Regions from separate parts of the Mus musculus genome. Here all the other regions are reported to be linked to region 2. Evidence: microRNA targets listed by miRTarBase, many of them from high-throughput screens and not tested one by one. Region 2 holds a microRNA gene; each other region holds the end of a gene's coding sequence.

What was found. Region 2 holds the annotated microRNA mmu-miR-136-5p (ACUCCAUUUGUUUUGAUGAUGG, at 1,823-1,844, opposite strand). A microRNA usually pairs through its seed, bases 2 to 8, with sites in the 3' UTR of a target mRNA and lowers its output. Matches are read on the target gene's strand: a 7mer-m8 pairs with bases 2 to 8, a 7mer-A1 pairs with bases 2 to 7 and ends in A, and an 8mer does both.
Region 1: the mRNA of Galnt7 is a reported target of mmu-miR-136-5p. The part of its 3' UTR that is shown has no 7-base or 8-base seed match.
Region 3: the mRNA of Smarca4 is a reported target of mmu-miR-136-5p. The part of its 3' UTR that is shown has no 7-base or 8-base seed match.
Region 4: miRTarBase lists Mindy2 as a target of mmu-miR-136-5p. Seed matches in the 3' UTR shown: 7mer-m8 at 931-937.

Annotation. Positions count from the first base shown.
Region 1 is chr8:57,523,477-57,526,595 of GRCm38, reverse strand. It overlaps Galnt7 (polypeptide N-acetylgalactosaminyltransferase 7), which reads left to right. Exons shown (of 12, transcript NM_144731.4): 12 at 345-2,771. The coding sequence ends at 482. Among named protein-coding and RNA genes, the nearest start is that of Hmgb2, 13 kb to the right of the region's middle.
Region 2 is chr12:109,594,056-109,597,174 of GRCm38, reverse strand. Mir136 (microRNA 136) reads right to left here and starts at 1,848; the gene lies at 1,787-1,848. It overlaps Rtl1 (retrotransposon Gaglike 1), which reads left to right. Exons shown (of 2, transcript NM_184109.2): 2 at 1,687-3,119. The coding sequence starts at 1,772. Mir434 (microRNA 434) reads right to left here and starts at 2,669; the gene lies at 2,576-2,669. Mir432 (microRNA 432) reads right to left here and starts at 2,219; the gene lies at 2,145-2,219. It also overlaps Mir3071.
Region 3 is chr9:21,702,525-21,705,643 of GRCm38, reverse strand. Smarca4 (SWI/SNF related, matrix associated, actin dependent regulator of chromatin, subfamily a, member 4) reads right to left here. Exons shown (of 34, transcript NM_001174078.1): 34 at 1,414-2,708. The coding sequence ends at 2,676. Among named protein-coding and RNA genes, the nearest start is that of Gm26511, 19 kb to the left of the region's middle.
Region 4 is chr9:70,602,434-70,605,552 of GRCm38, reverse strand. Mindy2 (MINDY lysine 48 deubiquitinase 2) reads left to right here. Exons shown (of 9, transcript NM_172772.2): 9 at 264-3,119. The coding sequence ends at 392. Among named protein-coding and RNA genes, the nearest start is that of Mindy2, 53 kb to the left of the region's middle.

The sequences.
Region 1 (3,119 bases), not on the chromosome of region 2:
TTGCAGTTCTTTTAGACAGAAACAATTCTGGGTCAGAGTTTTGACTGTGGGATGGCAACCCCATCCCTTCACTTGATGCCCTGTCTTCCTATTGGAGGTAACAGAATCCACATTTAACATTTACTTTTGGGCTGGAGAGATGGCTCAGTGGTTAAGAGCACTGACTGGTCTTCCAGAGGTCCTGAGTTCAAATCCCATGGTGGCTCACGTCCATCTGTAATGGAATGTGATGCCCTCTTCTGGTGGGTCTGAAGAGTGCAATAGTGTACTCATACGCATAAAATACATAAATAAATAAATCTTAAAAACAAAAAAACCTTACTTTGGCTCACTGTGTTTTGCAGAGCCTGCACAGGTTTACGCACATCACTTCCGGAAAGTGCTTAGATCGATCGGAGGTCCTGCATCAAGTGTTCATCTCCACCTGTGACTCCAGTAAAATGACTCAGAAGTGGGAGATGAATAACATCCACAGTGTTTGACAAGAACAGAGGAAACCAACAATCTACCTACTGACAAGTACATTTATGGAGGACTGAAAACCGCCTGGAACCTGCTGCAACCATTATTACTAATTTTGTACAGCTCCAAACCTGGAACCTCTCTGATCAGTTGGAAGGGGCATTGATAAACTGTGATTTTACAATAACATTATCATCTGCAGTGACTGTTTACAAAACTGCTCTTACCTTAAACTCTAGATGTTTACATCGTTTTTTGTTTTGTTTTATGATGATGTTGGTAATTTGTGCCTTTAACTCGGTTTCCTGAACCGCCGAGTTAAAGCATGTGTTGTCTTCTTTGGGAATACACTCAGGGGTCTGGAAGGCAGTTTGGTTTTTTTTGTTGTTGATGATGTTGTTCTTGTTTTTTAACACACTTGAAAAAAAAAAAAGGTTGGAGTAAGCAGACTTTCACATCCGACTTGGTGATGATCAACCTGCTGTGTATTTAATTTTACATCTTTCGGAAGCACTGCCACGGGTCGTTGGCCAGGGTGGCCTTCCTTCAGTTACGCTGCTGTTTGAAAGGTGAATTTCAACACATTTAGTGCCTCTTTCATTTCTCAGTATATTGTTTGAGAGCTTCTAGTGACACTTCTATGATGGTGACAATGAATGTCACCTGGGGAACCCGTCTGTTACTCACAGGAGAATTTCTTGGCTATGAAGTGGAATGTTGTATGGCTGGGTCGAGGACAACAGTGGGCCCAACTCAAGGCTGTTCCGTGGGGCTTGAAGATTCTGTGGCATTACCTCCCTGGCCTCTGTTCACACCAGCTTCTAGGCTAGCAAAGGAGTCCTTCTTCTAAAAGGAGGGGTTGGTTTTTGCCCATCTACATTTTGCATCTGCTTTCCCCAGTACCAGTCATAGAAAACTAAACATAATTCTCAGTTTGAAACTTGAAGGGGGGTTGAGGGGCAGGGAAACAACACAATAAAGCCCTAGTGTGGACGCCTTAGGTTGGTCCTGAGGTAAAAATCCCCAAGCCCTTGTGAGATGGAAGCCTTAGAGAACCACCTCGAAGCACAAGCTGTGCACAGAGATAAACTGACACTTTGTCTACATTCAAAGGAAATTCCATGAGCATTCTTTTTAATTTAGGAAAATTAGTATCTAATTTTCTATTCTTAGATCTTATTATCTAAGAATACAAATCATCAACAAATGTGGACGACATTCTGCGAAGTTAGATGCTAGCTCTGTAGGGTTCCTTAATTTCTTTTTTAAGAAGTATAAATTTTTTTTATATTCCCCAGGGAAAAGAAGATTTAATTTGAACATTTATTAATACAATACCTACTTTAAGAGAACCAAATGTTGAAAACTTTAATTTCTAGGAAGTCTCTTATTACACCCCCCTTCCCCCAAGATAAAATGTCTACATTGAGTGCCAAAAAAAGAAAAAGAAAAGCAATGTGGTGAGCTGGGGCCAGTTAAACATTTTTGATCATGTAATCATGGTATCGATGACAGAAATTCACAAACTACTGCCAGAAGGAAATATTTTTAAATACAGCTTAGGGAAAAGAAGAAAAAAAAAGCCTGAATTTTTTTTTGGAAGAAAAGCATACAATTATTTTTCTTCCAACCTTAGTTCATCAAATTTGGGCAGTAAAAATTCAACATCCTGAACAGTTTTATTTATAATCTTGAATTGTCAATTTGTATTTTGCTACTGACCTGTGATCAACTATTTAAACTTTCATCTCTAGGGATATTTAAAGAAGAAATGCATTTATATGCTTATATAATTGCAAATAAATCCACTGTAGAGAGGAAACTCGGAGAATTGGTAATTATTTGTGTGTTAGAAATGGACACCATTTTTCATGTTAAATAGATTTTAACCTCGTATCTATGCATAGGCTAAGGTGGCACATGAACTGTGCATGTCATGTTATGGGTAAAGTAAATTGTTTTTACAATTCGTTAGGATACTATATGAACATGATTCTATATATTGAAATCAGAAACCTTTCCACACATGAAAGTATCAGAAGCTGCCACCATAATGACTATTTTGTACTTCAGGCTGCTTTGGAAATAATCCCCATCGCCTTGCTTTGTAAGTTGATAATATCACTATGCATTTCTACACATTTTATAAATTTGATTTATGCAGATTTTGATACACTGTATGTTTCTGTAGAAATTGTACAAATATTCAAAATTTTATTAGGGTAAACTCAAGAAGCTTATGTATAACTTAATTCTGGGTTGCTTGTTTTTTAGGTGAGGAAAAATAAAATATTGTATTTTAATCCATAGCTTTTCAGTGCTTGTAATTATTTCTATATATAATTGCACACTTACTCGGGTTTTTAAGAAGAGCAAGAGCCAAAAATAAATATCCAGATTACCCACAAGGAAAAAAATTAGCCAGGCTTTTCATTTACAGGGTTTATTTAGGGTTGATAGCTGAAATAATGCAAACTATAGTTATTAGAGTGTGTGCCTGAGTGTTGTTTAGAATTCTACTGTATGTATTTGTGTCCACCTGTAGAATGGAAACAGATTTTCTTTTTTTTTAATGATTTATTTTATGTATATGAATATACACTATAGCTGTACAGATAGTTGTGAGCCTTCGTCTAGTTGTTGGGAATTGAATTTAG
Region 2 (3,119 bases):
GAGAAGCCCAACGTGGACATTATGCTAAGGCCTTTCAATTTCAGCCAGGAGTTTTTTTTTTTTTTTTTTTTTTTTTTTGGTAAGTTTACATGTCAGACATGTTTATATAAAAGGTTTGGATTTAATATTGCCGACAGTAAATAAACAGTGAGAGGCTTTAATCAGAGGGGTTGCATGATCGAATTTAAGTGTCATGCTAACAAGGAGATGTCTAATTCTGAGAAACTGCAGACCCAAAAGCATCCTGCTGCAAGGTTTGGAGGATGGCCAACGGGAGTTTTACATGAATGACAACATGGGAGATTTCTGTTTATTTGGTTTTGTGTGTGTATGTGTGTGTGTTTCTGTTTTTGGATAGGTCAGCCCAGTGACCTTAAAAAAGAAAATTGAGAAGTAACAGAAGGTGCAGAATTCATAAAGACAATAGCTATATGGCTGAGCTATTGAATAACTAGCTTAATTTGTTTTGCAAACCAATACATCCCTTTAAATTCAATTTCCGTGCACTAAACCCTCCATGGCTAGATTTTCAAAAATTACGGAACAATCAGATTTCAAAGGTCCCATGCCCCCCCTTTCACCCAACTTCATACCTCTGTTAGATATACCCCTGTACCAGACGAAATCAACAGTGACAGAAAAGGGGGGGGGGGCACTTTTGAGAACGAAAACCCTGCTCCTGCCGAAGCAGAGGAGAAACTTGGAAAGATAGCATTTGTGAGACGTGCAGAAATGTTTGCATGAGCAGAATTGAGGCCAGATGTTTAAAGCTGCAGGAGCCCTGCAGACCAGGCAATCCTGGGAGAACAGTTTTTTTGAAAGCCCGGGAAAGGGTGTTTAGAAAGCTCCGACTCAGCTCAGAGCTGGAGAAAACGTGGCTTTGGACAGAGATCAAACCGAACAAGAGAAATGATACTATCCCTCCCCCACCCCCCTCTTATCCTGCATATGCACAAAGTGTGACCTAGGATGAAGCCATGAAAGTGCATGTTTTCAGCACATAGTAGGCATTTTATAAACATTTATGGGGAGCAAAATTAAAACCAAAAGCCATGGCTCTCTCTCACTTATTTCGGCTTGGAGCCTAGAGGAGGAAATAAGAGCTATTTTTGGCTGTTGACCCAACTGGCAGGATAGTGGCCAAGTGCCCAATTTCTCCTCTTTCCCCAGTTTGTGAAATAGCAGGCATCTCCCTGCAGATTCCCGCCTCCAACCAAGCTCACTGGGCTGGCTCTAGACCACCAAGCCTGCCAGCAGCCGCTTTGAGTGGCATTGAGATGTGACCTTTATGACTTTTGGGTGACTACAAATGGGAAGGGAACCTGGCCAGGGCAAAGCGGGCCAGAAGTGTGCCCTGCCAGGTGCTAGCTCGCCACAGAGGACGCTCCAGGCCAGTTGCTCCACAAAATTTATGGGCTGTGAATTTCTCATTCCACTAGAGGAAGTAGGCAGGTGGGGTAGTCAGACTCCGCCTGGAAGGCAGGTCAGGGGGTGACGGTCTTTCCCCTGGAGGTGCCCCAAGTAACCAGAAAAGGAGGCTGAACTGAATGCAGGAGGAATTTCTCCATTTTCTCTCTGATTCTAGTAACTTGGCATCTGCTTTGTCCTTGAGATAGAATCTGACCCTGCCATCTTGAGAACCTAAATTGCTACATTTTCTCCTGTCTTTTATCCCTCTGTCCCTAGGTTTTGGTCTCCACAGTTGCGGTCTCTGACCACACACATCACAATCTTACCAGTCTTCAGAGCACACTCCTTTCCAACCGACGACATGATAGAACCCTCTGAAGACTCATTTGAGACGATGATGGAGCTTAAGAATCCATCATCAAAACAAATGGAGTCCTCCGAGGGCTCATCCAACACCGTTGAAGAGACACCAGGCAGCAGTGGAGCCCAGGCGGGGGCCCAGGCAGGGGCCCAGGCGGAGGCCCAGGCGGAGACCCAGGTGGAGGCCCAGGCGGAGGCTCAGGCTGAAGCCCAGGTTGAGGCCCAGGTTGAGGCCCAGGCGGGCTCAGATAGTGGCCCAGCCCAGGAAGAAAAGGAGCCACCCAGTGGCCCCCTCAAGGAAATGCAAGAGCTGCCCACTAATCTACTCCAAGAAGTGGAGGAGCCATCCAGTGGCCCCCACCAGGAAATGCAAGAGCTGCCCACTGATCTACTCCAAGAAGTGGAGGAGCCATCCAGTGGCCCCCACCAGGAAATGCAAGAGCTACCCACTGATCTACTCCGGGAAGTGGAGGAGCCATCCAGTGGCCCCTACCAGGAAATGCAAGAGCTACCCACTGATCTACTCCGGGAAGTGGAGGAGCCATCCAGTGGCCCCTACCAGGAAATGCAAGAGCTACCCACTGATCTACTCCGGGAAGTGGAGGAGCCATCCAGTGGCCCCTACCAGGAAATGCAAGAGCTACCCACTGATCTACTCCGGGAAGTGGAGGAGCCATCCAGTGGCCCCTACCAGGAAATGCAAGAGCTACCCACTGATCTACTCCGGGAAGTGGAGGAGCCATCCAGCGACCCCTGTGAGGCATCATCTAACGATCTACCCCAAGACATGGAGGAATCAAGTGATGATGGTTCGAACCAGGAGTCGAGTGATGGTTCAAACCACGAATTAAGTAATGGTTCAAACCATGAGTCGAGCTTTGGTTCAAACCCAGAGTCGAGCGATGTTTCCAACCTGGAGTCAAGCGGTGGTTCAAACCAGGAGTCCAGCGATGGTTCACAAAAGGAGTCAAGCTATGATTCAAACCCGGAGTTAAGTGATAATTCAAACCAGGAGTTAAGCGATAATTCGAACCAGGAGTCAAGCGACAGTTCAAACCAGTCAAGTGATATTTCAAACCAGGAAGGGTCGGAACCACTCAGTGAGGCATCCGATTATAGCATGGATGAAACAATCAACTCATCCGAGACCCAGTCAGACCAAGATGATACTGACCTGGGAGATGACGAGGAAGAGGAGGAAGAGGAAGGTGGTGAAGAGGAAGGTCAGCCCAAGAACTCTCCAGAAGAAGTCGTGGCCACCATGGGGAACGTCATCTCGCTGTTCCTCCGGATGCAAGACCTAAAAGAACAACAGAGAGTGGCAGAAAGGCTCATGATGCAGGCTATCA
Region 3 (3,119 bases), not on the chromosome of region 2:
AAACTCAGCCTGTCAGGCTTGGCAGCAAGTACCTGTAACTGCTAGGCTAGCTCTCTGGTCCCCAGGACACTTTTTTGAATTTGGAGACAAGTTCTCATCATGCAGTACTTGCTATGTACACTAAGCTACTATTGAATGCAGAGATCTTCCCACCCCTGCAGGGACTGGAAGCATGCATCACTCCGCCTGACTGTAGAACTCATGTTTAGTTTATGTGCTTTGCTATGTATATCTTGTGGGCTATATGCATGCAGTACCCCGAGGCAAGAAGTGGGCACTGAACCTCCTAGGACTGGAGGAACAAATGGTTGTGAGCCTGTGTGTGGGTGCTGGGAATTGAACTTAGATCCTCTGGAAGAGTACCCAGTGCTCTTAACTGCTCTCCAGTCCCTAGAACTCTTTTTTTTTTTTTTTTTTTTTTTTCTTGTTTTTTTGAGACAGGGTTTCTCTGAGTAGCCCTGGCTGTCCTCGAACTCAGAAATCTGCCTGCCTCTGCCACCCAAGTGCTGGGATTAAAGGTGTGCGCCACCACCGCCTGACTCCTAGAACTCTTTAATTTTTCCCCCAAGACAGCTTCTCTGTATTCCCTTCTTGTATAGCCCAGGCTGTCTTGAAACTTACTCTGTAGACCAGGTTGGCCTTGGAAGATAAATTCAAGAGCACTAGCTAGGTGGTACAGGCCTGCAATCTCAGCATTTGGGATCATCATGAGTTAACAGCAAGCTGCACCTCCATACCAAGTTTAAGGTCACCCTGGCCTACGTGAAACTGTCTCATAACAATATAAAGCAGCCTTGGTAGAACTTTAATCCCAGCACTTGAGAGGCAGAGGCAGGTGATCTCTGTGAGTTCAAGGCCTACTGGTCTCCACAGAGTTCCAGGACAGCCATGGCTACACAAGAGAAACTCTACCTTGAAAAACCGAAAATAAAGAAATGAATAAATCCACCAGCTTTTGCCTCCTGGGATTAAAGGTGTATACTATATGCCTGGCCCCAGAACAAATTTTTTGTTATTTTGAGACAGGGCCTATGAACCCTATGAATCTTGGAATTCACTATACAGGCCTTGAAATCGGAGATCTTTGCCTCTGCTGCCACACTCTCGGATCTTTCCCTCCTGGGAAGTCTCCTGTGGGGTTTGTTGTACAGTGTGTCTCTGTGGTATTCCTTGGCTCTAGACTTCCAGGAGACCTTTCTCTTCAGAGCTGTAAGACCTTGGGACAAACTTCCACCACTGGAGTGGAGTACAACACTTCTCTTGGAGTACAACACTTCCCCTTTCGCCTTAGAGCTGTCACACAACTGTGGCTCCCAAGGCAGCTGGTAGCTACGGATGGCCAAAGACTGAGCGGTAATGGAGAACTGGAGGGCAAAAGGGCTGCAGGCAGAACTGGGGCTTATAGGCACAGAACCAAGGCAAGTCCTACTTATTTATTTCAGTCTTCATTTAAAAGAATGCTTCTTTTTGAGATTGGAGAAATGGCTCAGTGGTGAAGAGTACTAACTGCTGTTGCAAAGGCCCAGGAACCCACACAGTTGCTCACAGCCTCATGTGACTCCAGTTCCAGATCCAATGCCCTCCCTTGACCTCTGTAGGCTCTAGGAATGTACTTGATACACACACACACACACACACACACACACACACACACACACACACATTCAGGCAAAACATTCACACAAAAATGTCTATAATTTAAAAAAGAATTATTTTACGTATGTATGTATATATACACATTCATATGTGAGGGCATGGGCATCGCATCGGGTAAGAGGGCAATACTGAATGTGGGCTCTGATTCATTTGAAGCAGGGTCTTGTCACTGCCTGGCATGCTAGTTGGAGCGCCTGGGGTTCCTCTTTGTGCCTTCATCTTAAGAGCACAGGACTGCAGGACTAAATTAGCCTGGCCCTGTGCCTGTGGCACTTTCGCCTATGGTACCATCTCCCCAGTGCAAGTCATGGACTGCCTCCGTGTGGATGTGTGTGTCCCGTGTATGTAATTCAGTGTGTGTACATCTGCACATGAGGGCCAGAGGTGGATGCTAGGCATCATCTTTGATTGCTTTCCACGTACACATTGAGGTGGAGGCTCTAACTTGAAGCTCACTGACTTGGCTTGTTTAGGGTGTGTGGGTGATGGGAATGCAAAACCCATACACCTGGCAAGGCAAGTACTTTGCCCATAAGTTAGACCCAGTTCCTAAAAGTCTTTCTTTCTTCTCTGTGGCCCCGGAGCCACTGCTGACAGCAAGGAGTCCAGGGAGCCAGTGGTGGCTTGTCATTGCTTTAATTTATTACTGTCTGACTCCAGTGACACTGACATACCCGCTGGGCCTGTGAGCCTCCTGGAGAGCTGGCCCTGTCCAGTAAGATACAGTACAAGGAGCGGCCGGCACGCGCATGCATCCACTGAGCTACAGTGACTGGGGCCTGGGGAGGTGGATGGTGCTCCCAGGAGGTCCCCTCTCTAGACAGTTAATGCTGGTAGAGACTCGAGGCCAGGCCAGGGCCGACAGACAGGCCTATACTTCTCTGCCTAAAAATGTGGAAGATTGCATGTGTACAGTTCTCCAAGTTCGAAACTACATCTGGTGCTACCCATCACTGCTAAGGGCTACTCCATCTTGGCTGGGACGAGCGCCTCGGGGTCAGGACTCAGGAATGTCTGGTTCAGTCTTCCTCACTGCCACTTCCTGAGCGGTCCTGAAAGAACAGGGGGAATAGTTTGTGAGTAGGCTGCGGCCTAGGCACTCTCCCTTGTCCATGGTGTTCTCAATGCTGTGGAAGGGCCTAGATCCTTAAGGGATAAATTATCTTACTGTGGCAAAAAAAAAAAAACTGCATCAAGGAGGCTGGCAAGACGACTCAGCAGTTAAGAGCACTGATTACTCTTCCAAAGGTCCTGGGTTCAAATCCCAGCAACCACATAGTGGCTCACAACCATCCTTAACGAGATCTGACTCCCTCTTCTGGAGTGTCTGAAGACAGCTACAGTATACTTACATATAATAAATAAATAAATGAATCTTTGAAAAAAAAAAAAAGAAAACTGCATCAAAACTTGGACCTTGCCCTGCACCATGGTAGGGACAGGCCAACATGGAACCCCATAAG
Region 4 (3,119 bases), not on the chromosome of region 2:
GAAAGCAGCAGCAGACCCAAGGCAGGAAGGTGAACCAGGTAGGCCTCTTCTCTAAGATGCCCAAACCTCCCACAGCAACAGGCCAGCTGTGGACCATGGTCATCTCTTATCCTAATCCTAACACCTGTGAGCAGAAGCCGTGCCCTTGTGCCCACAAAGCGTCTGTTTCTGTAAGGATGCCTTTGTCTCTGTGGCTCTAGCTAGCTAGCTCTGATTCAGTGCCCAGGAACAGTCACCCCTTCCCATTTGTGTTTCTCATACAGCAGGGCCAGCCAGCACAAGCCTCTCCATCAAGTATAAAACAGCCTGGGAATAGTGAACGGAAACGCAAGGAACCTCGGGAAAAAGACAAAGAGAAAGAAAAGGAAAAAAATAGCTGTGTGATTTTGTAGGGAATGCTGACGTCTGTGGGAACCACCTATGCAGATGACGGAAAGGAAGACCCAGTCCCTACCGTCTGTGCCTGATCTCCCAATGGATTTTGCTCATGTTTTCCAGGGGAAGGTTGTTACTTTGTTACAATCAGCTTTTTCAAGTTACACCATACACTCTCTATGAGCTGGAGTTTTATGTTACAGGTCGGAACTGGTGTGTGTTGTCACTGTAGCCAAATGAGAATATCACTCCTATTTTGTGTCTAGTGACATTGCAACTCCAATCAGTTAGTAAGCTATTGTGTTCTGTGTGACAATGGATGGAGGTCACTGAATAAGTTTGATCCTTCTCAAGATGTAATTGTTAGCACAACTATTTCTGAAACTTTACATTGTTAAATTATATCCTAATCCATGAGGAACGAGGACTTTAATATAGGGGAGGGGGAGAGAGCAGGAATGCTGACCCTTCATTGTATATTGAACTGGTTCAGCCCTTGGACAGCTTTACCTTTCTTTAGTAATGTACATTTTAGCTACTACCTTGAGAACTGATAATGGAGCTTGGATCCAATTTAGATAGAAAAAATATTTTTTATTTTCAAATAGCAAAAAAAAAAAAAAAAATACATTGACACTAATACTTATAACCTATCCAGATGAGATACTGACTTTGTAGTGCTGTGAGATGTTGAAAAACTTCAACCCTTTCAGAACCTGAGCGGTGGCTTCTGGTTGATGAGCATGTGGTACATGCGTGAGGAGAAGTCCACACTCAGGCTCAGCCTTGTACATATGAGGACAGAGAAGAGCAGCGTTCACTGTCTACCTTTTTCTAGAATTACCTTGAACCTTAAATTTTAAATCATGTTTATTGCTAGAAAATTAAACATAGTTATTTAAACCAATAAAAAGCACATTTCTGAAGGAGAGTTAATCTCTTGACTCTAATGAAAAGATATTAATAAAATTCTAAATGTAGGTAGGAGTCTAAAGGAATTTATGTAAAAGCAATCAGATTTTTTAACTTATGAGAACCAAATAAACCTAAGACATCTTACATCATTTCTAGGATTCTGAAAGAATATTTACTCAGCTTTGTGATGAGGCAGCACATATTGTATTTCTAGATACGATTTGGAAAACTATCCTTAACATGCTTTTTTATATACTTTGTATTTAGAGTTTGTTTCGGTCATTTTTGAAGATTATTGACAGTGCACGTAGCTGTGTGATTTATCCTAAACCTCAGTAAAGTTTATTCCGGAGCATCACAGATTGAACATCAGTTAGAGAAGAGTCCTTGGGGTCTGGAGGCAATTAAAGACTACCAAAAGAAAATAGTGGAGAGTTTAGGACTATTGTCATTGATGTTTTCCATGATCCCAAACCAGCTGTAGGCTGAATATATATGTAAAAAGTAGAGTTTTATTTATGAAAAGTATTGTTCTAAGATGGAAAAACCCTTCAGGGCCATGCTGTATCCTTTTTACCCTTCTATATGACATGTCTGTTTATGTCCTTTGTGGTTTCTTCAGATTTTCTATACTAGCGTGGGAACTAATCAGGGAACCTGCCTGGGGTATAAAATTTGTGTATAAAATACCTGGTAAGTAAGTCTCTTGATTCCAACCTCGAGTGAGTACGAATGGTCAGAGATCAGACCGTTGGGTGGACTGACCTCACCTCAGCATAAACACCATGACTGTGCTCTGCTGATAGAGGAGAAAGCTCAAACCTCAGTGTGTACTTTCCCAGAACAGTCTAATATTTTAATTTAGGAAACAATAAACCTTGAGTAATTATAAAAAGTATGCTTGAGGCATATTTTTCCATAATTATATTATCATGTTATTGCCCTTGAAGAATCTATATATAAAAGTTACGTTATTTTTTACTATCTTATTTTTTCCAAAGTAATACTGCCAATACTGCACTCCAAAAAGAAAAGAACAAAACGAAAAAACACACACAACTCACTGAAAACCATCAGCATTGCTGTCAGAGAGTCAGTGTGCAGAGATCAGCCAAGCACTGTGCTTGTTAATCCTGCCTGCTCTGATGTGGCAAGAGTCATATCAAACTTACTATGATGTTTGATTACTGTGGAAGAGATTAAATGTTTGACTCTATTAAAACAAATTTCTGAAATATGCTTTCCTGTCCTTGAAGGCTTGTCAAGGTTCTAAACTGCCATGTATTTATTTCCTATGTTTTACTCAAGGTAGCAAGTGATATTCAAGCATATTATTGCTTATTTGGGTAAATAGGACTTTGAAAATGGTATTTTCAGGGATTTTTCCCTTACAATACTTTGTAATACTTGACATTGTTATACATATATTGCTAACAAATGTTACAATTTAAACATTTTGGAGCTTAATGATTCTAGGCTAAATTTCAGGCACATTTGACTCATGCAGGAGAGCTAGCAGAAGGCAGGCAGAGGAGCAGATGTGGTCCCTGGCACTCTTCCTACTTTCAGAGCCTACTCTTAAGGTTAGTGACCAGTCTGTTATTAATGTGCACTTCTCACTGGTGTCAATAGCGCTGTGACCTGTGCTAGTTTATCAGTACCTAGAATCATGTGTTTCTGAAGTAGGTTTCCAGGACTTCTGTTTAGGTGTCAAAGCAACCTGAAAACTATCAGATAGAAAAGTTGTGAATATTTAAAAATATTCACACACACACCTACCTGCACTAGGAGTATCACCAAGTGGTACAGCATTTGCCTGCAGTGCACAA